4 linked regions of the Oryzias latipes genome follow. The main gene of each other region encodes a partner of the protein of the gene in region 4 in a complex. Links are inferred from orthologs where the notes say so. Each region holds a gene or a part of one and is shown on either strand. Other genes may lie near its edges. The genes, in order: pigu, gpaa1, pigs and pigt.

Region 1 (5,946 bases), on a different chromosome or scaffold from region 4:
GCCATGTTTTGCAGCTTATCTTCTACAGTTACTCATCTATTTCAACCATCCATCTATTCAAATGTTCGGCTCTTTCAGCTTTTTCCAGCTGTGACTTTTGGTCCTTCAAATCCTTGAACTTTTCCAGATATTCCAGGATTTCTGCCTCCATTTAAATAAATGGGGAATCCTTGGTGCAGAAGCTCGCTGGTTTGATACCCGGCTCTGGCATTTTTCACAAACATTTTTGTTATTGTGCTGTTTTCACTTTATTTATGGTCAACTTTGATCATTTCTTTATTTTTTGCCCGTTATTCCCCTTTAAGTTTCATTTTCATTCAGCAGTACAGCATTTAACCGGCATTTTCTTCTAGAAATGCAGCTCCTTCTAGTTTAAGTTTCTTTTTGAAGACCTTTTCAGAACTTCTGCTGGGAAATCAAAATAAAAGAAAACCATCAAAGTTCAAACCTAAAGCCATCTGATCTTCATTCAGAAAACCTTTGTTAAAATCTCTGACTGCTCTCTATTTTTTTAATTTGAAGCTATTCCACTAAATCTTCACCTTTCAACAGTTCTGAGATGATAAATAACGCCTTTGTGTGCTCCCTACATCATCAAAACACGTCTGATGTTCTAAAACGAGCCAAATGTTGCCATGAAACCTAAAAGCGGCCTCTGTGTTTTTAAATTTCAGATTTGTTTCTCTGTCGTCTCAGATGTGAGGTTCGCTGCAGACTTTTTGCATTTAATGCTTCGTTCTCCCTCATTCCAGCAGAGTGCCCACCCCCTCATGTCCTGAAGGACCCCCCCCCATGCCTACCATCAGGTTGAATATCACAGCAGAGTCCACGGGGACGGCTTTCAGCAGCATCTTTGCGTCCGCGCCTTCGTAGCGGAGACTGTACAGCTCCTTGTTGCTGCTCCAGTCTGCAGGCAGGAGCTCCGACTTCCGGTCACCGCTGCGGGGCTGGGGGGAGGGACGGGGGCGGGGGGGGGGGGTGAGACACCCTCTCTTTCAAACGCTTCTGTGCCCCCCCCCCCGCGCTAAAGATGACGTGACACTTTTTGCGGAAAGTCCATTTGTTTAGTATGAGACCAAATGGCGCGTGCCAACTGCACGAGACTAAAAATCGGACTAAAACATGACTCAATGCAGAACTTTAGGAGGTCAAAGGTCACCTAGATGGAGGAAGAAGAACCAACTCAGCGGAGGTTTCCTCTGAATCGCCTGCAGGACAGTTTCAGTTTCCATCCTGATCCTCCTGCTAATGTAGCAAAGCTAACATTTATTCCCACAGACTGAGAGTTTAAATCAAAACTGTAACTCAGAGGGACTTCAGAGGCTGTCAACAAACTACGATCTAAAAGTAAACAAACAGCATTAACTTGGTTCGTCTCGTATCTTAAATGTGTTTAAATAAAACCAGAATGTGTTGTTGGTTTGTCTCTTCTGGTTCTGCTTAAGTTAGCTAGTTCGACCCACCTCGTCTCCGGAACCGATGCACCGGTATCCTCCCTTGATCATTTCCCAGTGAACGAAACACACGAGGGCGTCCTGAGGACAAGTCAGGCTACCTGTGACGCAGGTGTACAACACCTCCAAGCCTGCCATGTTGTCTCACAAACCAACAGCACAGAACAAGAACAGAAAACAAAAATCGCAGAGTCGTCGCTTCCATAACAACCACAGCGACTTCCTGCAGGGATTTTCAAAGTAAAAGCACGTGGCTTTTAGAGGATTGCAGAAAACACATACGACACGCTAAAATAGTATTGTAGACGTGATACAGTCACAATTTAGTAATCAGATATTTTTAAAACGAACAACGATAATCTACTTCAACGTGACGCTAACACAGGCCCACAAAAGCGTTAATTTTATTTTATTTTTAAATACGCCCCCGGAAACAGTAAAATAGTTTATTCCAACTAGACGGCGAGTTGCAGTTTTGTTTTGATCCGTCACATAAATCTTTCGACTGAAAACACGCAAATGACAAAACATTCCGCATTCCGGGGTGATTAAAGAAAAACGCCTGTAATATGTGCTATATTATTGTTTAAAATTACAGCGTCTTTATGTATATTCAGCATATGCAAAATTAGAACTAACAACAAGATCATATGAAAACTCCTCTGTTGAGATTAAACTCCTTTTCAAGTTGTTTAAAATGTGTTTATTTACCTTTACACATAAAATTAAATACAATATTTGATTAAAACAAAATTCTAATCTTGATTTTAATTGCTTGAATTATGCGTTTTAAATAGTCTTTTTGTAAATATGTTCCTTTATTATTATTATTATTATTATTATTATTATTATTATTATTATTATTATTATTATTATTAAACTCGCTCCTTATCGCTGCTTGGACTGTAAATCTGTGGAGGTTGGAGGTAAATGTTTTCCTGACGAGACGGAATAAACTTGACTTCCCAGCATGCACCTCGAGCGCAGGGCGAGAGAGCTTCCTCGCGAAGATGGCGGCTCCCTTGACGCTCCTAATGATTGTCGCCGTGACGGTCCGTGCCGTTCTATTCCGGTCCAGTTTGGCGGAGCTGATTTCAGAGAGGGTGGAGGTGGTGTCACCGATTACTGCCTGGAAAAGAGGTGAGCGGGCCGCCGGCGGGGGTCCGGAGCGCACCGGTCACACACGCCTCGCACCCGCGCGCCTCCCCGCTGCGCCGGTAAACCGGTTCGGCGACAAAATCTGTCACAAAAGAAATCTGTAAATGTTTGGAGAATGGTCGACGAAGGTGAAACGGTGTCAGACTCGGACTCTGATCCGATTTTTGGTCCCCAAAAAAACCCCGAACTGAAGGAACTCATCTCTGATTATTATCATCGATTGTTACTCGTACAAGTAATCTATTACATTTGAATATGACACTGTCAGAGCTGTAACGCCTTCATTAACTGAAAGTGACTTCAGTCAAAGTAACGACAGGAGGTTCTGCAGAGGAGCTGTTGGGTTGTCCTGCAGGTTCTGATGGATGAAGAACATGTTTGGGTTCATCCATGTTCCTGATCATCTGATCTGTTGTCAGATTGTTCCCGGTCGTTTGTTTCTGATGATGATGCCGTTTTTAGCCCAAAATCCTGTCTTTTTCTAGGACATAGTTTCTGCAGAGCAGCTGGAGTTCAGTAGAAATCCACCTCTCCTCTGAGTTGCCTGTTGGCATGGAGCAACCCCGCCCCCCTTGCCCTCCCCTTTGCTGAGAGCTCTCTGTTTCCACGCTCTCCCGCTAACATTAGCGCAGCTGTCCAGCCGCTCAGTTCTGATCCAGATTGCAGGAAGACAAAGACGTTCATGGGTCTCTCTACCTGTCTGCAGGTGGATGCATCAGAAAGGGGCGGAGCTGGGAGTTTGTGGCCCCGCCCAGGATATTTTTTGTCGACATCACAAATAGGATGTTTTTCAAACGGCATAGTTTCGTCTGCTCCTCATTCACAACGATTTGAATAAAGAAAAACTCAGAAATGCAACTTGAAGCTTCATTTTCTTCATATTTGTCCCCATCATCAGAAAAATGCCACCAGAACGCTTCGTTTTTCTGATGCATCTCTGCAGCTCTAAACAGGTTTTCCCTGATTCACGACGAGAGGAAATGTGGAACATTTAACCAAATCTGATCTGTGAACTCAGCACGGCAGAAAACAGACCATAATATTCAGTCACAGCAGCCAACGGGACGTATTTAGCAGGCAGAGAGGGTAGCATTCCTAGTGTGCTGTGGATGCGGTCTGACTTTACAAAAGGACGGGGACGTCAACCGTTCAGGAGGTTGGAGGCGGAGCCTGCTGCTCAAACAGACAATAGTCTAAATGTTTTGTGGGTTCTGAGGTTTGGATCCTTTTCTGATGAATCTTCCTGATCATGAACCTACCGCCTCAGACTGAGGACTCTGTTGTGGTGTGGTTGTGTTGCAGTGATCGAGGGTCTGGCTCTGCTTGACCTGGGAGTGTCTCCGTACTCTGGAGATGTTTTCCACGAGGTGAGTCACAAACCAAAACACCTGAAGGTGACACCTTCGTCCGACCTGAACGTGGGAAACGGCGGACGCTCAGGCCGGACCTCACCACATGTGTTTGTCCGCAGACTCCGCTCATCATCTACCTCTTCCACTTCCTGGTGGATTATGCAGAGATCACCTTCATGGTGAGTCCCTAAAGGAGGTTCTGGACGTCAGGAGGTTTGTGGCGGATGTGTGGAGCTCTGCTTTGTGTCCTCAGCTGGCAGACGTGGTGACGGCCGCGGCGCTGTACGCAGCAGCCAAGGATTACAACAAACAAGTGGTGAGAAAGCTGCAGAACCTCTGCACGTAGATCTGCTCTCACCCAGACTCTGTCGTGTTTTTACAGTTCAGAAAACAGAAGTTTGCGTTGGAGGCGGACCGCTACCCCCCGGACTGTCTGGAGCTCATCAGGACCCCCTTAGAGATGCACTACGTCCCCCTGAAAGTGGCCATGTTGTGAGTCCTCCTCAGAGCTCCGCCCCCCTCCGCTCTCTGGGCGGAACCAGCAGAAGCTTCAGCTCTTCTTCTCCCGCAGTTACCTGCTGAACCCGTTCACCATCTTGTCCTGCGTCGCCAAGTCCACCTGCGGCCTGAACAACATGGTCATCTCTCTCTTCATCCTCTGCACGGTCAAAGGTCGGCCCTCAGACTCCGGCTGGACCCCTTGTTTGGCGCCTGGACCTCTGACCTTCTCTGCGTTTCAGGAAACGTGCTGCTGAGCGCCATCTTCCTGTGTCTGGCCACCTATCAGTCCGTCTACCCTCTGACCCTGTGCGCTCCTGCAATGCTCTACCTGATGCAGGTGCGTCTCCTCCCAGTGACGGGAGCGTCCCGGCGCTCTCCTGGTCTCTGACTCCCGTCTCCCTGCGTCTGCTCCTGCAGCGTCAGTACATCCCGGTCAACCTCCGGCGCGTCAGCTTCTGGTGGTTTGTGGTTCAATACCTCTTCATGTACCTGGGCAGCCTGTTCGTCCTGGTCTGCCTGTCCTTCTTCCTGCTGGGCTCCTGGGACTACATGCCGTCCGTCTACGGCTTCATGTGAGTGAGGATGAGGAGGAGTGAAGGGTTTTAGAGATGGTTTCTCCCCCGTGTGATGGATGTTTCCTGCTGGTTTCCCTGCAGCCTCTCCGTTCCTGACCTGACCCCCAACATCGGCCTCTTCTGGTATTTCTTTGCCGAAATGTTTGAACATTTCCGCCTCTTCTTCCTCTGCGTCTTCCAGATCAACGTCTTCTTCTATACCATCCCTCTGTCCATCAAACTCAAGTAAGTGGGTCTGATGCGGTCGCTGCAGAGCTTTTCTCTGCTCCGGTTCTTCAGCGTGTCTGCCTGCCTTCATGCTTCTGCTGCAGGGAGCATCCCGTGTTCCTGATCTTCATGCAGCTAGCCGTGATCTCCATCTTTAAATCCTACCCCACCGTGGGGGACGTCGCCCTCTACATGGCCTTCCTCCCGCTCTGGAGTCACCTGCACCGCTGTGAGTGTGTGCTCCAGGTTCTGGCGTTCTCTGGCGGCGCCGAGGTTTCTCAAAGGTTTCTGTTCTCCAGTCCTGAGGAACATCTTCCTGGTGTCCTGCGTCCTGCTGGCCTGCTCGGCGCTGTTCCCGGTCCTCTGGCACCTCTGGATCTACGCCGGCAGCGCCAACTCCAACTTCTACTACGCCATAACGCTGCTGTTCAACGTGGCGCAGGTAAGGAGCGGCCTGAGGGGGGCGCTGTCAGGTTCAGCTGAGAAAGGGGCCAGCAGATTCTATATTCATGAGGACGTGAGAATATTTTAAAGGGCCTATATTATACTTTTCGCAAGCTTTTCATAGTAAACTATATTCATTCATCTATAATATGTTCCCGCTAAATAACAAACTTTTTATTAAATATTAATTTTTCCTACCCAGAAGTAAGACGACTGGATCTTTGGGGCTCCGCCTTTCTCTCTTTGTGGGTTCCG
Region 2 (5,894 bases), on a different chromosome or scaffold from region 4:
CCACCATGTTTGACTGTTTGTGCAATGTTTTACACTAGAGTGATGCGAGGCACATCACCCAAAATGTTTCACGGTTATCTTTTCTGTCCTGAAAGTCTTTCCTAAATCTTGTAGAACATCGATATTTCTGATGGAAAACCTGAGATGTTGTTTTTGCTCATCTGTGCCGTTGACCTCAAACTCTCCCATGTCTGGCGTTTTTATTGTCTGGTTTACCTCTGATGATGGATTAAAAAGCTGTTTTACTCAAAGGACAGATGTATGCCGCCCTGTGAAAAATGTCAGACCTTTTTTATGGTTCTCCTATGCTTACTTCCTGTTTCCCATTCAGATTCGAGGTGCTCGTAGTCGGGCTCTTCATGACAGAGCCATTATCAACTGCCAGTACAGCATGGCCACCTTCAGCACGGCGGAGAGGAAGAGGAGACCGCACGGAGACCGCAAGTCCACAGAAATGAGCCTTCACCTCAAGCAAACGTTTGAAGCTGCCGTGCTGACCCAGCTCTACCCACGCTCCCAGATAGACATCTATGTCAAGGTTGGCCTTAGATTTATAGTATACTGCGCTCTACTTCATAGCATCTGTTTTCGTCATTGTTTTAAGAACGTTTTCATCATTCAAGATTCTTCAGTCCGACGGGGGGAACTACAGCGTTTGTGTGAACGCCGCCACACTGGCAGTGATCGACGCAGGGATACCGATGAGGGACTATGTGTGCGCCTGCACAGTGGGCTTCGTGGATGAAACCTCTCTTGCCGATCTTTGCTACGCAGAGGAGAGCGGAGGAGTGAGCTCTCTGGCTTTGGCGCTTCTGCCCCGCGGAGGGCAGATCGCTCTGGTCCAGATGGATGCCAGACTGCATCAGGATCACCTCGACACTCTGATTGAGGCGGCAATGACCGCTTGTAAAGGTGTGAGCAAAGTCCTGGACCAGGTGGTCAGGCAACATCTCCAAGAAGGTTCTACGCTCAGAGAATAATGGTGAAGGAAAGAGTAAACAAATGGTTTCCTGGGATCAACACTTATTTTGTCGTCATTCTTAACATTTTATTAAGTATATTTGTGCATAAAGAATAAATGTGAATGTATATCGTTTCTTTGTATTTGCATTTGTTTTATTAGCTGAAAACTGACCTGTTTTTGATGCAAAAATCAATGTGATCAACTGAAACAGCAACATCAGCATTTTATATATAAACAGATAATAAAGCTTTGTTTTCAGACTGATACAATAAGAACCTTTATTTTAAACCACACATCCGTAAGAGTAAACAATTTGTGAAAAATTAGATAATTCTTATATCCAATTTATTTAGCTGTGTTGATATCTTACAAATTTTCACCAAAACAATACTTTTTATTCCTGAATGAAATGCTCTGTTCATGTGTTTAGTCTTTTTTTTTTAGATTAATTTTCTTTGATTTGTTTTGCAGACAGGCTATTCTGCTTTTGCTTTTGTTTGTTGTAAAAGTAATTTTTATGTCACAATACAATACATGTTTTGTAAGAGTTTCAGTCCGTTGAGGCTGAATAATCTATCATTTTCTTTACCTGCTGAAACAAAATTGGTATTAATGTAACTTACTTTTTAAAGTAACTTTTCTTACATAAATCTTTATTAGAATTATTGCATATTAAAGTACATTTTCACTGATTATTACAAAAAGATGCGTGACTAAGTTTAAATAATCACATTTTACACCACCTCTGGAATATTTTGATAAATAGAGATGTATTTCATTTTTGACCGGATATGCATTTTTCAGACCGGAAGTTGGTCCACAGAATTAACGTTCCCGCGGGAACAAGGAAACAAAATACTTCAGCAGCCCTGGTGTGGAAGCGTCGCCTCTGCAAGTGTGACTAGGTTTGAGGTACATTTTTTTACGTCTTAAATATATCACATTTATAAACAACGTTTACACTTTTGACGGATGGTATATATTTTTAAATACTAACGATGCTGTTCTGTCGAAGCTAGCAGCATTAAGCTAACCATCATTCATGAAGTTGAATGAAACGACGAGAGTCAGAAGACATTATGTTAATATTTGTAGTTATAATTATTTTTATCACGACCACACCAGCTAAAAAAAAGTCTAAATGATTCTAAAACGGTTGTATTTTTCTCTGCGTGGTGGTACAAGCTCATGGATTCGTCCAAAAATCAGTGCAGGAGTTAGTGAGAGTGAATCCCAACATGCTCCTCTGTCTAAAGTAGCTTTCTTCAATGTCTGGTTCCGAGCTAAAAGTGACGTCTAATGAAATATGACTGAAGGGCTGTTTCTCCTATAGGAAAAAACAGTAATAGTTAAGTTAGAAATCATCATCATAAAGTCATATCAGATTTCAGATTAAGACCACAACTAAATAATATCTACATAATCAATCAAATATTGAGATTCGGAGATCCCATGTCCAGATTTTAGAGTTTTCATTTCGTGCAGGCTGGATGACTGAAACATGCTCCTCTTGAAAAATAAGTAAAGACAACAAAGCTGCAGCTCATTCAGAACTTTGCTGTCAGAGCCAGGAGAACCGACCACATCACTGCGGTTCTCAGGTTTTTATGCTGGCTAAAAGTCAGAAAAAGGAATGGATTTCGATTTATAGCCTCTGCTACTGCCTAACTATGTAGCCACAGAGGCAGCCCAACGGGTCCCCCTGTCACTGTCCCTAGCCTGGTTAAATATAGGTTGTGTCGCGTAAAAATCCGCCCAAACCACCTCTGTGAAAACAGCACAAGCTGTTTTGCTGTGGCGACCCTTGAAGAAATTTGCTGAAAGGTGAACAAAACTGTATGTATAGCCACTTAAACACCTATCAGATCTATTTATTGTCAAATACGCAATAATTGTTAACATGTGGCACAGATGAAATGAATATAATTTGGGATTTTAACTTATTATTTTGATTCTTGAATCTTCCCTGTATTATCAAAGCTCTTGCATTTCTTGAAACCCTTTGAACGGCCTTTGTGTTCATCATTTGAGAGCTCTTCATTTGCATTATCAAGGTCTGGAGGTCTGTCTGTTAGTGGTCTGTACCTTTTCTGCCTTCTGGTTCCAGTAGATCCACATATCCAGGATAACGAGACGACATGGGGCTGCTGTCTGACCCCAATAGAAGGCAGGCTTTGATCAAACTGCTGACCCGCCTCAATGCTCCAATCTGGTGAGTTGTGTTATTTTTCCATTGCTCCTCTCATACTGAGTGTTAGAATGTTTTAAATTCTCCACGCCTGTCCTCGTCAGCTTCGTCTGCTACTTTGCGGGTGTTGCTTGGTTCATGGGTCTGGCGTTTGAGCCGTTCACCCTGCGGACCTACATGTCAGAGAACGCCATGGGATCCACCATGGTGGAGGAGCGCTTCCCTGCAGGCGAGAGAGCGCTGGCTACAGGCCGAGAGTTTGCTGCTCACAAGAAGAAAGTCGGGTAAAATGATTGTATCAATACAGAAATGAGTTTTTTTCCCCCTACAAAATCTCCCCTTAAGCTTAACTAAGCTGTTCCTCTTGGCTTCTCGTCAGTGGGATGCCGGTGGACTGGCTGGTGAAAACCATGCAGGCTCGAGGGCTGGAGGTTTTCACGCAGAGCTTCTCTCGCACGCTGCCTTTTCCCGATGAAAACACTGAAAGATACGTACGTTTCTGTTGAATTTATGTTTAAATCTTCCAGTTTGGTTGTGTTTTTAGTGTTCAGATGACAACATACCCATTTTCTGAGTATATATGTCTTTTTTTTTTCTTCCTTGCAGGTTGTAAAAGGTACAAATGTTTATGGGATTCTCCGAGCACCTCGAGCTCCGCGGACCGAAGCGCTGGTGCTCAGTGCTCCCTGCACTCCAGGTGATAACAACAACCAGGCTGTGGGACTGCTGCTCGGTTTGGCCCATTACTTCCGGAGTGAGTACTTCATCGACACAGATCAGACGAAAGAGTCGCTCTTTTTTGTCTAAATCAGTGTTTTTCAACCTTTTTGAGCCAAGGCACACTTTATTCTGGACAAAAATCCCGCAGCACACCAGCATCCAAAAATGAAAAAAGGAGAAACATATATAGATGTACAGTCCCTCTGCAATCTCGCATGCATTTTTGTGATATGTGTGGCAGAAAAAGCTGGAAGTTGCTGCTGTTTTTTTCTAAAAGATGTAATAAAAGTTAAGTTAGCTTTCAGTAATAATTTTCAACTAAATTATTTGACATTTTTCCCTGGTAGTTGTTTTTTCCTCCAGTCTATTAACATGCAATTTTATGTAACCTAACATAAAACCTATCCTGGAGATGGTAAATGTTTTTAGATGAGTGAATGGGTAATTTCCCACGGCACACTGGTTGAAAAACTCTGGTCTAAATGACCTCCATCTGAGATGAAACTTCTCAATAATTTCTCCTCTTTCTAACAGATCAGGTTTACTGGGCCAAAGATATCATCTTTCTGGTGAATGAGCATGATCTGATTGGGATGCAGGCCTGGCTGGAGGGATACCATCACACCAATGTCACAGGTGAGCGCTATCTATAAAGTAACTTCAGTAGTGCTTTCATGACGCTCAGGATGCCTTACAGGCCCCAAATGCAACACAAAAATAGAAAATTAAATGAACTGTTTAACATAATTGTGCCGCCTTCTCGCTGACCTGTGTTTCAAACAGCAAGGCTTTAGGTCTCATAGAAGTTCTTGTTGATTTGTCGGCGTAGGCATGGACTGGTCTCCCCTGCAGGGGCGCGGTGGTTCGATCCAGGCCGCCCTGTCTTTAGAGCTCAGCAGTGACGTGGTCACCAGCTTGGACATCGTTCTGGAGGGTCTCAACGGGCAGCTCCCTAACCTGGACTTGGCAAACCTCTTCTATGCCTTCTGTCAAAAGATTGGAGTCCTGTGCACGATCCAAGGGAAGGTAAGGCCGGTTCCTCTAGGAGGAGCATGTCCCTCCTCACTGATGTTTGGAGGGAAGCTGAGAATTTCTTATGTCTGCAGCTGCAGAGGAACGACTGGGACAGTGCGTCGGGGTACAACCACGCGGTGCAGACCATGATGCTGATGGTGATGAAGCAGGCCAGCGGGCGGCCCTGGGGCGACCACGGCCTGTTCCTGCGCTACCACATCGAAGCCGCCACCGTTAAGGGCGTCAACAGCTTCCGTCACTACAAAACCGACGCCACCACCATCGGCAGGTGGGCGCAGGGCTGAAATTACAATGAGTTGAATGCTTATTCACCAATAACTGCAGGAATGCAGACTGACTGTTTTCTGTTTTAGGTTGCTGGAAGGAATGTACCGGAAACTGAACAACCTTCTGGAGCGGCTGCACCAGTCCTACTTCTTCTACCTTTTACCTTCACTGTCTCACTTCGTCTCCATCGGATACTACATGCCGGCCTTCGGCCTCCTCGCCGTCATCCTGCTGCTTCGAGTATCCTTCCTCCATGCTGTAAAGACGTTTTTATGAGATCCAATCAGGATCAACTCAAAGTGAATGAAGAACCAGATTGTAAATGTGAAAACAATTTTAAACTCGAGGGGTGCACATTTCTCAATGTTTCTTTAAAGTTTGCCATGTGTCCGTGTTTAAAACTGTTTTTCAAAGAAGTTTTTCCAGATCGATGATCTAGTTTTTCCTTCACTTTAAGCTGACTCTGATGGACCCCAAACATCCAGCTTTAAATAAAAAGCATAGCTAAAAACTGGATGACTGATCGATATAAAGAAAAAGAAAAACATCTTTGAAGTTCCTCCCTAACTGTGACTCAGGCTTTAGATCTGTGGGTTCAGCTTTCGGCTCAGCCGTCTAGAACCGAGGATGGGGTGGCTGGTACTGAACAGGTGACATTTAAAGAAAAAAAAACTGTTCTATGGAGAATTTTCCTTTTTATTTGAGCGGTCTTCTCCCTGT
Region 3 (6,018 bases), on a different chromosome or scaffold from region 4:
CTTTTGGGGTTGTTGACAGTCATGACGGCTCTTTGTTTAAACTTTAAGGTGTTTTAAAGTAGTTGGACCAGCTAATCAAAAGCCATCTAGGTGCAACAAATGACTGATTTGTCAGATCTTCTATAGGGCCTTTTGGGAGCCAGTTTTTTTTAATCCTTGGTACTCGCTCTCTCTGTCCGTCTGTTTTTCAGATATTAGGCTATAGGCAGGACAAAACGTCCAATACCTTAAAGACCCACTCCAATGAAAATCGAATCGTCTTTTCCGTGTGTTTAACATGTTCTTGTGGCGTGTGGCACAATTGACCCGCCCTCAATTTAGAAGCAAACTTAAAATGAACTCCTGCCGCTCTGCAGAAACTATGTCCTCGAAAACAACACGGGTCGTTCTTTGAAATCAAGCATGCACATCCAAGCACAGTAAAAGTCTTTCCATCCCTAAAATCTTTTTTTGTTTTTTCCTTTCCAGGCGAATGGCCTGGCGGCTCTTGGCAAGTACGCATCATCTGGATCCGGCAGCGCCGCCTCGCAGTCTCTCTATGTGGCGAACCACGCCTACTAAACATAGAACGACCACATTCAGCCGTGGTCTAGTCTTAGTCTTAAATCTGCTCTTCTGTCCCTTCTCACTCCTACATCGACCACAGGCCTGCGCTCTCTATTAATATCAGAGTTATATACATTGTTAGATAAATGTATTTTAAAAGAATGTGATGTTAAAATTTCAAAGGGAACAGGCTTATAGTTTTTTTCCCTTCTTCGAACAGTTTGTGACAGTTTTGGGGCAAATTTGAAATGTTACGCTTGTGTCTCTGATGAGGCTGAAAAGCGGAAGCCAGAGGCTCCAGAATGTGATGAAGATCATCGGTCAGTATTGGTTTCTTGCCGCTTTGAAAATGCGCCTGCCTCCATGTCAGGTGCCTTCTCCCTGCGAGCCCCCGAGCAGGCTAAAATCTGCATGAGTGTTAGTGTTGCGCTTCCCGTTTGAAACCGTATAGGCTCATACCAACATCCACATTGACAGTGGGACCAACTAATACGTAGGCATCAGTTAAAGCACAGTATGGCGACGAGAACGGTGAAAGATCTGAACTGGGTTATCCTTCTGATAGACGGTCCCAGCAGAGATCACACGGTACTGTAAAAACCCGCTCCACACCGGCTTTCACCCCACTCTTTTCTTGTGTTCCTTCTGGACCTTAATACATGAACTAAAACCATCATTTGTGTCTTTTCTGTATAACATTAGCTCTCAGAGTCACGCAGTAATTGATGTGTTTTGTTATGTGAAGGTGTCAATATTGTGTGATGCATGTGTCACCTCTGCCCCCTGTCCTGCTTTTCCCTGCTGGCCCCTTAGGAAGATCAGAGGAAGTCTATTGAAATGTATGTTAAAAATAAATGAATAAAAGGACCAACATGTGGGACCAGCAGCACAGAAACATTCACTGCTTTGTTGAAATACTGTTTGTGATGTTAATATTGTTCTTGAAACACGCTGTGTCATGTAGTGGAGATAATAAACTAAAATACACATTAAACCTGATGGAGACTCCATTTTTGTGTTCGATCCCCTCTGGTTTGACTGTGGCCTCTTTTGCCTTATTTTTATTTTTTTGGAGCAAGTAAATGTTTTTAAAGTTCATGTTTTTTTACTTTTATTACCTTCAGTATTTAAATTAATATGCTCTTGTACATTTATAAACCCCTGTCTGGGTTATTCTGTTGGTACAATATTTTGTCACATTACTAGCTGCCTTGTCATTTAGAAAAATCATCCATAAGATTATAATGGACGAAAATTCAGTTTCAGTCAGAAAGAGTTTAAGTGAAATTTAAATAAATTTATGTAAGATTTAAAATGACTTGTTCTTGCCGTGTCATTCATAGCAGCATAAATTACACTTAATATACTTCTACTAGAAACAGAATCCCGCAAGAATATATTTGTTCAAAAGAGGAAGAAATCTCTGGGATCAATTGGATAGGTCAGCCTATCACCACAGGAGGCGCTGTTGAGAAACTGTTTTTTTTAAGTACGTTAAAAAATAACACCCGGGGAGCCGGCGGTGACAGTCATTTTATCTGAAATTGAATTTTACCAGGGTTTTCATTAGACCATTATAACAATGGCGTATTAGAACATTGTGTTACTCTTAAAGAAACTGTAGCTACATATCAGTAATATCTAGACTTTTGCTTTATACGCATTTTGTTTCAGCTGTCACGTGACACACGTGGCTACGTCTGTCGTGTCAACGAGCGCACTACTTTCATTGACAGAAATGGCCACCACGGAAGTGGGTGAGTGAATTCATTGCTCGGTTTCTTTCTATGAGTTTTTAATGTGAACGTTTGTGGAATTAAATGTACTATGTTGTAAATGTTCATGTTGAGACAATAATAGATGATGTAGTTGTTGGTCATTTTTGTCTTGTTATGACGCTCTGATGCTAACAGCTAATTAGCTACATACTGCCTGCTCAAGACAAGTGCAACCAAACAGTTTTATTCTTATATCTTTGTCTTCTAACATTTTAAATCATCTGAAATGTCAACAATGACTTTAATATCTCCCCGGATATAGGTATCAGGATTATTTGGCCGTTTAATTTAACCATTAAAAACAGTTACATATTTGATTGATTTATTTAGAATTTGGAAGAAAGTTTCATAAATTTTTATTTTATTTGAACTTAACTGTCCTTCTATTTAGATGCAAAATGACGAACAATAGCAGTTTTTTAAGCAAGCTGTTTAGTGAAATATAAATCAAATATAAGTTGTTTTTTGTAACCAAAGACATTTGTCTTATGTTGAACAATTAGCAACAACAATGTACTTCTGGCATTTCTCTCAGAGCGCAGACGAGGTCAGCTTGCTGCCCTGTCTATCGCCGCCGTGGTCATCGTCGTTGGGGTCCCCTTGTGGTGGCGAACGACTGAAACCTACCGCGCCTGGTTACCTTTCAGCCAGATAAAAGACCTCTCTAAACTGCAGGTCTGTCTCTGTTCCGGGATATCACCAAACTCCCCGGTTAACGTATCTTCCTTTTGCGTTTGTGTGTTGGAATAGTCTTTATCTCTCCTTGCAGCTGCATTTAAGTGCTGATGTTGAAGTTGTGTTTGCACGGGGCACCCTGACACCTGAGCAGCAGAAGAGGCTCCCCCTGACCCAGACGCAGGATGAGGAGCATGCAGTGGATGGTGACGCACTTTAGAATCCTGGATTTTGAGGTCATGCAGTCCATACCAGCATGAATAACGGTTTCTCCCATTTCTAGAGAACACAGTTTTGAGGTATACTCATGAAATAAAGTACCAAACAGCTACAATTATGGAAGAGGAGGCTCTGGGCAAGCCCACCGCTGCAGGTGAACTACCTACCAAATAGTGTGTTGTGTCAGTGAAACCTCATGTATAGTTACTTCTGTCTGTATCTGTGTCCTTTTCCAGAGGCGGATCTATCTCTGCACATGCTCAGTGAAAGTCCGTGTGGTTCTTCAGTGGTGTATGTGATTCCTGAGGTCTCCTCGCTGCTACCAGAGGTAAAAGCTGTTCATACTTCTATTGTAATAGTGATTTTTTTTTTTTAAACTCATAGCTTTCAGTCATTTTAGTCTCTTGATTGTAAAGAAAACTTTTTAAAATCCTCTTTAGAATGTCAAAGTGTATATTGGTCAACGCCGGACGGCCATCCTACGCATCAATGCTGAGATGAGAGCAGGAAAGACGGTAGAGCAGCTACTGGATGTCCTGAAGCCTCAAATCAAGCAGGTGCTTCAGGTGATGTCTTTTAGTCACACGGACATCACAGCTGCCCTCAGTGATCGAGTCCGTTTCAACCCTGGCAGCAAAGAAAGTATGACTCATAGTATGAGAGCCTTTACATTCAGTCCAGGTTGGTTTTTATCTATGGTTTGGTAACATTTCTTTGCAGTCCTTTTTCCGCTTATATTCTGTGCTTGTCCTTACCTTTTTTAGGTTATGAGATAACTTTCAGTCTGTTGAACCCTGACCCAAGGTCACACAGGCTCCATTGGGACATAGAAGGTGCTGTTCAGACTTACATCCAGCCTTTTCTTACCAAACTTTCTCCTTTGGCCAACTTCAGCATAGACTCTCAGGTACGAGAGGCAGCACTGCACACGTTTCAAAGTTCAGAGTCATCATGAAAAGTCACCCTGCAGCTTTGTTCTTCATTTGCTTTTAACAGATGCTACACTACGCCATGCTGGGTGTCAACCCGCGCTATAACAACGACCGCGGCGCCTTCATACTTCACGCCGACAGCCTTGCTCATGTCATCAACCCAGTGGAGGCCAGACTTGGTAAAACTGTTGTTACTTGCAAATACTGGCGATAGAATACAATGGAAAAAAGGGGAGCCGTTTTTTCTTACGTTAGTCTCATTCAACTCCAGGTTCCAATGCTGCCTCCTCCAACCCGGTGCTGAATTTTCTTCTGTATGTGCCAGACGCCCAGCATTCACCACTTTACATTCAGGACCACAAGAAAATGGATGTTCCTTCGAATGCATTTCACTCTCCGCGTTGGGGGGGGATTATGGTAAGAAGACTGATCTTTGGATGATGTTAAAGACTCACTCTGATCATCTTTTGAGATATTTTAAAAGCCTTCCCAGTGGTCTTTTAAATATAATTGAGTGTTTTTAACTCCAAATAAAATAAAATAAAACGATTGTTTTCGAGGACACAAGGAGCTTGTCTCATCATATATTTTACGTCAAAAAAGGCTCTTTTTTTTTTTTGCCTGCTACTAATTTACAACGATTTGAATGAAGAAATGCAATTCTAAGCTTAAATTTCTCTAAAGTGGGTCTTTAACAGGATGGTACATTTTTTTTCTTACTTTACTTTGTGTTATATAATTTATGCAGCCAAAATGTTCTCTTGTGGAGTAAAATTGGAACAATATACCGGTATATATATATTTTTAAGTATATGTGGGTATAAACTATGCCATTATAATTACTATTATTCATAAGTAGACATATTTGCACTTAGACATACAGAATATAACACATGTAATCCATTAAATGTGAACATTTGTCAAAGACTTAATTTAATTGCTTAAAAAACACTTTTAAGCTTTAGTTAACTATGTATTGTTTCACATTGTTATCATAATCTGGTTCTTAACTTCTAATTAGAGCTATTTACATCGATAATATACATCTCAACTCGTCACATGGAAACAAATCCAACAACATGGAATCAGACCTTTGTATCTGTGCTCTTTTTTGCTAAATGTGTTCAATCTTATTCCTCTGGGACTTGACATATCTTGCAATAAATGGCATATTTTTGGAGCCTTACTTACTTTCACCTACTACTGTTTCTTTAGGTGTATAATGTTAAAAATCTCTATGGACCAGAGGCTGAGTTTCCTGTCAACATCAACATAAACATGGCTGAAGTCATGGGGGTTTTCCTGACGCAACTTCGGTAAAAAAGTTTTTTCCTCTGGAGCAAATCGTCTTTCTCTGCTTCACACTAGAAACGTCCCATTAACGTGTCGTTTTAGGCTGTTGGTGGGCATGGAGTCCTCCCCTCCTCCCCCAGGCTTCTTGGTGGCTCCGTGCGGCAGCGTAGGACTGGCTGACTGGGAGCTGGACCGTCTCATGTGGAGTCGGAGTGTGGAAAATATTGCTACGGCGACCACAACCATCACTTCTCTAGCGCAGCTCTTGGACCAGATTGGAAACATTGTCATAAACGACAACATTGCCCAGCAGGTAGACGGCATCCTCAGCTGTAAAAACATTTCTTTGTCTGTGTTGTTTATTCATATGTGCTTCTGCAGGAAGGGGGGTGAACTTGGCCCTTTTTTTAAGCCCTAAATTACTTTAGCTTTTATTATTTCAACTGTGAGAGAAACTGTAGTGAAAACCAGACCATAGAAAGTTTTACGGCAGCTTCTATGTAAGCTGAAAATTAGGATGTTAGAGCAAATAACCTCTATAACAAATAAAATGTTCCCAGTGGTCTTTTAATTAT
Region 4 (4,803 bases):
AATGTAACCTGACAGGAAAAGAAATGCAGGTGGCCCCTCATCATTAGCTACTACGTTCAGGGTAAAATAATGAAAATGATGTAGTGCTGGTTTAAAAATAACATTTAAAGTATAGTTTGTAAAATAAATAACCAAAAAAAAGATACTGACAGATGCTCAAGAATGTGCCAAAACTAATTGGACTAAAAATGCTTGATTTAACATCTCCCCCTTGTGGTGAAAAAGGAAAGTGCAAGACGTATTGATTTTTCATCCCCTTCACCTCTATCAGCATTCTGTGCGACCCTGAAGTTGCTGTTAAAAGCAGTAAAATGTTGCTTAACCTACTAAAGAATGATGACTGGATAATATCTGTATTTATTAGGGATCAACAGAACAAGTAGTAAACCAACAGAATTGGAAATGCCATAAAATAAACTTTATTGTAGGTATGCTGATCTTCTTCCTCTTTTGGCTTCTCCCATCAGGGGTCGCCACAGCGAACAAGTCGCATGGTATATTTGGCAATGTTTTACGCCGGATGCCCTTCCTGACGCAACCTTCTCAAACCGGGCTTGGAACCGGCACAAAGGTAGAGAAGGGAACAGGGAGCAGCCCGGAGTCGAACCCTGGTTTCACGGATGGAAGGCGCCGCAAACCAGCACGAGCTATGCTGATGCTGAAACTATTTTAGAACAAAATAACCAAAACTGGAATGTCAACAGATCAAAAACCCAATGTGATGCAAAACTGACCACACTTTGTAAAGAAATATATTGCTATGAACTCATTTACGTTGTTTTCAATAAGCTGTTTAATAACCCCACTTTCTATTGGATGTTGCTTTTCTTCTGCTTTTCTGCGAAATGCAGACTGTAGGAACCAAAATGTAGTTTTGTTGCACATTTCCTCATTTCCTTTGTAGTTTGGATGGTTTACCTCTACAGTTTGTTAGTGACACCTGGGTGAAAAGTTTGTTAAGTGCCCGCTCACCTGCATTCGAGATTGAGAAGAAGAGATTTGTTTCCTATTTTGAGGCAACTTTGTCGCTACAGTTTTCTTCACATTCACCTTTTTAAATTAAGTTCATTCACTCAAAGCAAAGCTGTAACTTTCTCCGAGTGTTTTTTTGTGCAGTAAACATGCAAAACATGGGAATGAAGCGCGTCTTACACAAACTGAACCCCATTGGCTCCTCAGGCTTCAACAGGAAAGTCGCTTTAACACAGATGAGTCTCAGTCACCAGTAGGTTCTGCCTGCGTTCTGCCTGGGCTGCATTTGAAGGCTGCTTACGTCACAGCGCCGCGACAAGTGCTGTCCAAATTCAACGACTCCTTCAAAGGCAGCAGACCTCTTTTTCCCGATTTCAAGGATTGGGATTGGTCTGGTGTATCCTTCTGTGCTGTCCATATCCCAAGATGCATTGCAGCCGAACCCGGAGATTTTCTGACAACAATGGTGGAATGTGAAGCGGGACCCAGAGTTGAGAATAATTACACCTTTTTATATGTTCACCTCCAAGATTAAAAGTTGGATCAAATAAGCCAGAAAATTTTGAGCTCCTCGCTTGGTTCACTACTCCTCTCTGTTCGGGACACAAGGTTGCTAGGCGACAGGACATGCGCTGATGTAACGGCTGTAATCATCTAAAGGTTAGACTCAGCAAGATTCACAGCTGTTAACATCCGACCTACCCGCTCGACGAAGGAACCGCCCAACGCCGCCCGTGAAGGCGGTGGCCATTGAAGGATGCAGCCCTCGAGTTTGGAAACAAATTTCAAAAGTACACACTGTTTGGTAATCGCGACTTTAATCCGTGTTTGAAAGCTGGTAGCTTCATAGTTACTTAACTTTGTCATCTTTTGATAAACGTCCCAAACAAAATTGTGGTTTGTCTGTAAATGTGAGACACAAACGTCCCAGCGTTAAAAAGCAAAGAAACTCACTGGGGTTGTTGTCCTTCCCTTTGCTGATGACTTTGAGTGTGTGGATGTAGAGGCGCAGATACCAAGGCACGGAGTCCAGCAGCAGCACCGGGAAGGACCTGAACGGGTGGTTGTTGTACATCAGGGTATGAATCTCTCCTGTCTGCAGACCGTATCCAGCCACGTAACGCTCAGCGTGAAGCAGTGGGCGGAGCATGTCACCTGCAGGGACAAGGCAAGATGAGCTCATATTTAGATACAAATATATCCTCTTTGTGTTTTATCATTTCTGAGCACAAAACAAGTAAAGAGCCAAAGCAGGGATGCTTTTTCTGCTTTCAAATCCTGGCTAAAGCTGAAGAAACATGGATTAAGCGTCTTCATTCACCCTCTAGACCAGGGGTCCCCAAATCCAGGCCTCGAGGGCCGGTGTCCTACATGTTTTCCAACCAACCTGCCATTGAAGCTCCTAGTTGGCCAAACACACCTGATCAAGGTAATCAGCAGCAAATAAGATAGGGTTTCAGGAAAACCAGCAGGACACCGGCCCTCGAGGCCTGGATTTGGGGACCCCTGCTCTAGACAATCACCTTCACTGGATTTCCAACGAATCATCAGGTTGAGGGAGCGCACAGTGCCAAAGGTGACTTGTTGGGTCAGATCGTAGACGGAAAAAGTGCGTCTGTCCCCGAGCACCACCGCCTGGCTCAGCAGAGGAGTGGCTGGACTCAGCTCGAACTGCTCCTCCTGCAAAATGCATCGTCTCCAGTCACATATCATCACAACAACTTTATCTTGAAACTGAAATATCACTGCGGTAAATCCTTTTCCAACTGCTGGTTTTCTGGATTGTGAAAGGGTGAAAGATTAGAATGAACGGTCAGACCTGAGGGTTGTCTGTGACGTCGATGTATATTTTACTGGAAGAAGCCAGCGGACATGCTTCCGTCAGCGTCCGAGAGAACATCTTGAACAGAGACCACTCTACATGCAGAAGCAGCTGGAGTTAGTAAAGACCACCAGGGTGCTAGCTGGAGTCTAAGGAAGGCCTCTGCTCACCACGCTTGCTCTGTCCAGAGGTGTGCAGGTCAAAGACTACGTTCAGCGCCTGCCGCAGCTCCCAAGAAGAAGACTTACACTGCCGGTCCTGACACACTGGTCTTATGTGCACAGACTGGGAATGAAAACTGCTGTGGAAGAGCTTCTCTGACTTCAACAGGACGGCAAGACCGGCCTGTGAAGACGAAACAAGAACTCAGTTATTTATTAAAAAATACAACTTTAAACTAAAAATAAAATAACTGCTGACTCTTTGAACACACGGCCTGCAGACAGACATAGAAATTCACCTTGGATCCACACGGCAGGAGTTTCTTCCAGGGGGTTAAATTCTCAGTGCAGACAATTTCCCGTGGAAGGGTGGCGTAGCGGAGAAAGCGGTGGTCTGTCTCTTTAAGGATTTAGACAGCAATCGTAAAATAGTGAACATAAATAGTAAACAAAATGAGGAAGACTTGATCAGCAATTTCAGACATGTCTTTACTTTACAAGCAGTGTTATGGTATGTGTGCAATTTCCGTAAAACCCTGTGAGCATCAGAATGACTACAAAACATTTCTTGGGTTTGTGTGTGGGGTGTCTTTTCTCCTGCAAAAACAAGTTAAAAAACATTTGTGTTATTGTGATGCTTTACAGGCAGGAATGGATGGATAAAGGCTTTCAGACCAAACAAGCAGAAAAAGTACATTTAAGCCTAATGCAGCAAAACATCTTGTAGAAACGTATTTTTAGACAATAATAACTTGTCCATAGAAAGTTCCACTCCAAACATCTTGTGATAAAATTTCAAAAGGTTACTGGTGGAATTTAAATTGCAATTATGCATTTTAAGACAAAATCCAAAAACCTGTGTTGTCTTTTAGGACAGTTTCAAAAATGTATCCGAAATTTGCCTCAGAGTTGTGGGAGGGACCGTTCCCCCGTTGCAGAGCAGGGAGCTCATGGCCCACCCAGCTTACTTTCTATGTAGCAAATGAACTCTCTTTCCAACTGAATGTTTTCATCTACTCCTGATAATTTGAATCAAGAAATACTCAGAAAGAAAATTTTAAGCTTAATTTTCTTAATATGTGTCATTAATCACCTGAAAAATGCCACAAGAATGTGTTAAAATCACCAAAAAACAGAGTTTTCATCAGAGTGGTTCTTTAAATGAAAAATATTAAAATAGATGTTGTCCAGTCAAACAATTTTAACGGTTTTTGAAGTCTGAAGTTGATCCCACTGAAAAGCTGTGGTGACATCTGAAAAATGTTTTAGCAGCATTTTTTTTCTCCCATTCTCCTCTTTCTCACTGACACAGCTGCTTATCTTATTCATGTTCTGCAAAAAGCTTCTGCCATGTTAGCATGGAGACGCCACTAATGCCTTGCATCACATCATCAGCTTTTACACATGACTACAGCGCAAGGCAAAATGCCAAAGGATGCTGAGGAGGCTGGACTGTACCATTGCCTATTCCCAGAGGTTTAAATGAAGCGCTGGGCTGCAGGGTGTTGGTGGAGTCGATAAAGTTCAGTGAAGCACAGAAGATGCCTGACAAAACGTTGGTCAGCTCCTTCCAGGTGGCATCGACACTAAAAATAACAACATCAAAAAACAGAAGTGAGAAAACTCAAGTTGTCCTGGCGTACCCAATCTTTTTTTTTTTTTTTTTTGAAACAACAAGAATGCCAATACTCATTTTTCCTTTGAGGATGAAACTTTGCAGATTGGACCTTAGCAACACCCACAATCCCCATTTAGCACAAACCGAAATTTTCCAGTTTTTAAGATTTACAATATTTCTTAAACAAGAATGTTTCTACACCAGTAATGTTGCATTTGGGCAGATTAATA

What was found.
Region 1: the proteins of pigt (region 4) and pigu are in contact, whole or in part, in a cryo-EM structure (PDB 8IMX), measured with the Homo sapiens proteins. The link is inferred for Oryzias latipes from reciprocal best matches to the Homo sapiens genes PIGT and PIGU. Residues at the interface, in NP_057021.2 of Homo sapiens: Tyr361, Gly362, Leu363, Gln364, Lys365, Arg394, Leu395, Tyr396, Val397, His398, Tyr416, Pro418, Ala419, Gln420, Asp421, Arg422, Gln445, Glu447, Leu450, Leu451, Lys452, Trp453, Thr454, Pro518, Thr519, Pro520, Asp521, Phe522, Ser523, Met524; in NP_536724.1 of Homo sapiens: Glu30, Lys42, Arg43, Val45, Glu46, Ser49, Leu50, Leu53, Val55, Ser59, Gly60, Ala61, Val62, Pro265, Asp266, Leu267, Pro269, Leu273, Trp275, Tyr276, Phe277, Phe278, Ala279, Glu280, Met281, Phe282, Glu283, Phe289, Phe293, Asn296.
Region 2: the proteins of pigt (region 4) and gpaa1 are in contact, whole or in part, in a cryo-EM structure (PDB 7W72), measured with the Homo sapiens proteins. The link is inferred for Oryzias latipes from reciprocal best matches to the Homo sapiens genes PIGT and GPAA1. Residues at the interface, in NP_057021.2 of Homo sapiens: Gln91, Gly92, Phe93, Arg95, Arg97, Tyr98, Ser108, Phe211, His212, Thr213, Ser214, Asp247, Phe249, Ile250, Arg340, Gln355, Tyr357, Val358, Ser359, Gly360, Tyr361, Gly362, Leu363, Leu371, Tyr373, Lys441, Asp459, Pro460, Asn461, His462; in NP_003792.1 of Homo sapiens: Arg97, Ser98, Val99, Gly100, Glu102, Tyr104, Arg134, Ala135, Pro136, Arg137, Ala138, Ala139, Ser140, Thr141, Glu142, Arg171, Gly172, Gln173, Ile174, Tyr199, His200, Asp201, Val202, Leu212, Gln213, Gly214, Arg215, Ala218, Arg311, Tyr312.
Region 3: the proteins of pigt (region 4) and pigs are in contact, whole or in part, in a cryo-EM structure (PDB 8IMY), measured with the Homo sapiens proteins. The link is inferred for Oryzias latipes from reciprocal best matches to the Homo sapiens genes PIGT and PIGS. Residues at the interface, in NP_057021.2 of Homo sapiens: Pro26, Arg27, Val63, Ser64, His65, Tyr66, Arg67, Lys71, Gln75, Lys79, Tyr80, Val133, Gly136, Lys191, Leu193, Pro194, Cys195, Ser196, Lys198, Ala199, Glu270, Pro271, Pro273, Leu274, Tyr526, Ile529, Cys530, Cys533, Val536, Ala537; in NP_149975.1 of Homo sapiens: Thr9, Glu12, Val13, Gly16, Ala19, Ala20, Phe23, Thr230, Pro238, Lys239, Tyr244, Ile247, Glu248, Val251, Gln256, Val270, Asp271, Ser272, Gln273, Ile274, Tyr276, Tyr277, Met279, Ser309, Arg310, Ser313, Ser314, Ala315, Ala316, Phe513.

What each region holds. Positions count from the first base shown.
Region 1 is NC_019863.2:32,754,330-32,760,275, reverse strand, and holds the start of pigu (phosphatidylinositol glycan anchor biosynthesis class U protein), read left to right. Parts: upstream 1-2,418; 5' UTR 2,419-2,464; coding exon 2,465-2,594; intron 2,595-3,914; coding exon 3,915-3,979; intron 3,980-4,083; coding exon 4,084-4,143; intron 4,144-4,217; coding exon 4,218-4,280; intron 4,281-4,346; coding exon 4,347-4,456; intron 4,457-4,535; coding exon 4,536-4,636; intron 4,637-4,704; coding exon 4,705-4,802; intron 4,803-4,882; coding exon 4,883-5,037; intron 5,038-5,121; coding exon 5,122-5,265; intron 5,266-5,351; coding exon 5,352-5,476; intron 5,477-5,546; coding exon 5,547-5,689; intron 5,690-5,946. Other genes in the region: psmf1 (proteasome inhibitor PI31 subunit), read right to left, coding at 801-947, 1,464-1,592. UniProt on the Homo sapiens protein: Component of the glycosylphosphatidylinositol-anchor (GPI-anchor) transamidase (GPI-T) complex that catalyzes the formation of the linkage between a proprotein and a GPI-anchor and participates in GPI anchored protein biosynthesis.
Region 2 is NC_019875.2:26,755,690-26,761,583, reverse strand, and holds the start of gpaa1 (glycosylphosphatidylinositol anchor attachment 1 protein), read left to right. Parts: upstream 1-1,752; 5' UTR 1,753-1,876; intron 1,877-3,071; 5' UTR 3,072-3,102; coding exon 3,103-3,176; intron 3,177-3,256; coding exon 3,257-3,436; intron 3,437-3,531; coding exon 3,532-3,643; intron 3,644-3,758; coding exon 3,759-3,906; intron 3,907-4,406; coding exon 4,407-4,508; intron 4,509-4,701; coding exon 4,702-4,898; intron 4,899-4,978; coding exon 4,979-5,175; intron 5,176-5,260; coding exon 5,261-5,414; intron 5,415-5,752; coding exon 5,753-5,824; intron 5,825-5,894. Other genes in the region: exosc4 (exosome complex component RRP41), read left to right, coding at 332-538, 624-980. UniProt on the Homo sapiens protein: Component of the glycosylphosphatidylinositol-anchor (GPI-anchor) transamidase (GPI-T) complex that catalyzes the formation of the linkage between a proprotein and a GPI-anchor and participates in GPI anchored protein biosynthesis. Binds GPI-anchor.
Region 3 is NC_019872.2:12,612,415-12,618,432, reverse strand, and holds the start of pigs (GPI transamidase component PIG-S), read left to right. Parts: upstream 1-2,171; 5' UTR 2,172-2,284; coding exon 2,285-2,303; intron 2,304-2,859; coding exon 2,860-2,999; intron 3,000-3,093; coding exon 3,094-3,205; intron 3,206-3,282; coding exon 3,283-3,372; intron 3,373-3,454; coding exon 3,455-3,546; intron 3,547-3,658; coding exon 3,659-3,899; intron 3,900-3,982; coding exon 3,983-4,125; intron 4,126-4,214; coding exon 4,215-4,329; intron 4,330-4,421; coding exon 4,422-4,567; intron 4,568-5,365; coding exon 5,366-5,466; intron 5,467-5,545; coding exon 5,546-5,756; intron 5,757-6,018. Other genes in the region: aldoc (fructose-bisphosphate aldolase C), read left to right, coding at 469-561. UniProt on the Homo sapiens protein: Component of the glycosylphosphatidylinositol-anchor (GPI-anchor) transamidase (GPI-T) complex that catalyzes the formation of the linkage between a proprotein and a GPI-anchor and participates in GPI anchored protein biosynthesis.
Region 4 is NC_019865.2:9,037,138-9,041,940, forward strand, and holds part of pigt (GPI transamidase component PIG-T), read right to left. Parts: intron 4,542-4,803; coding exon 4,414-4,541; intron 3,356-4,413; coding exon 3,255-3,355; intron 3,140-3,254; coding exon 2,965-3,139; intron 2,890-2,964; coding exon 2,792-2,889; intron 2,653-2,791; coding exon 2,496-2,652; intron 2,128-2,495; coding exon 1,927-2,127; intron 9-1,926; coding exon 1-8. UniProt on the Homo sapiens protein: Component of the glycosylphosphatidylinositol-anchor (GPI-anchor) transamidase (GPI-T) complex that catalyzes the formation of the linkage between a proprotein and a GPI-anchor and participates in GPI anchored protein biosynthesis.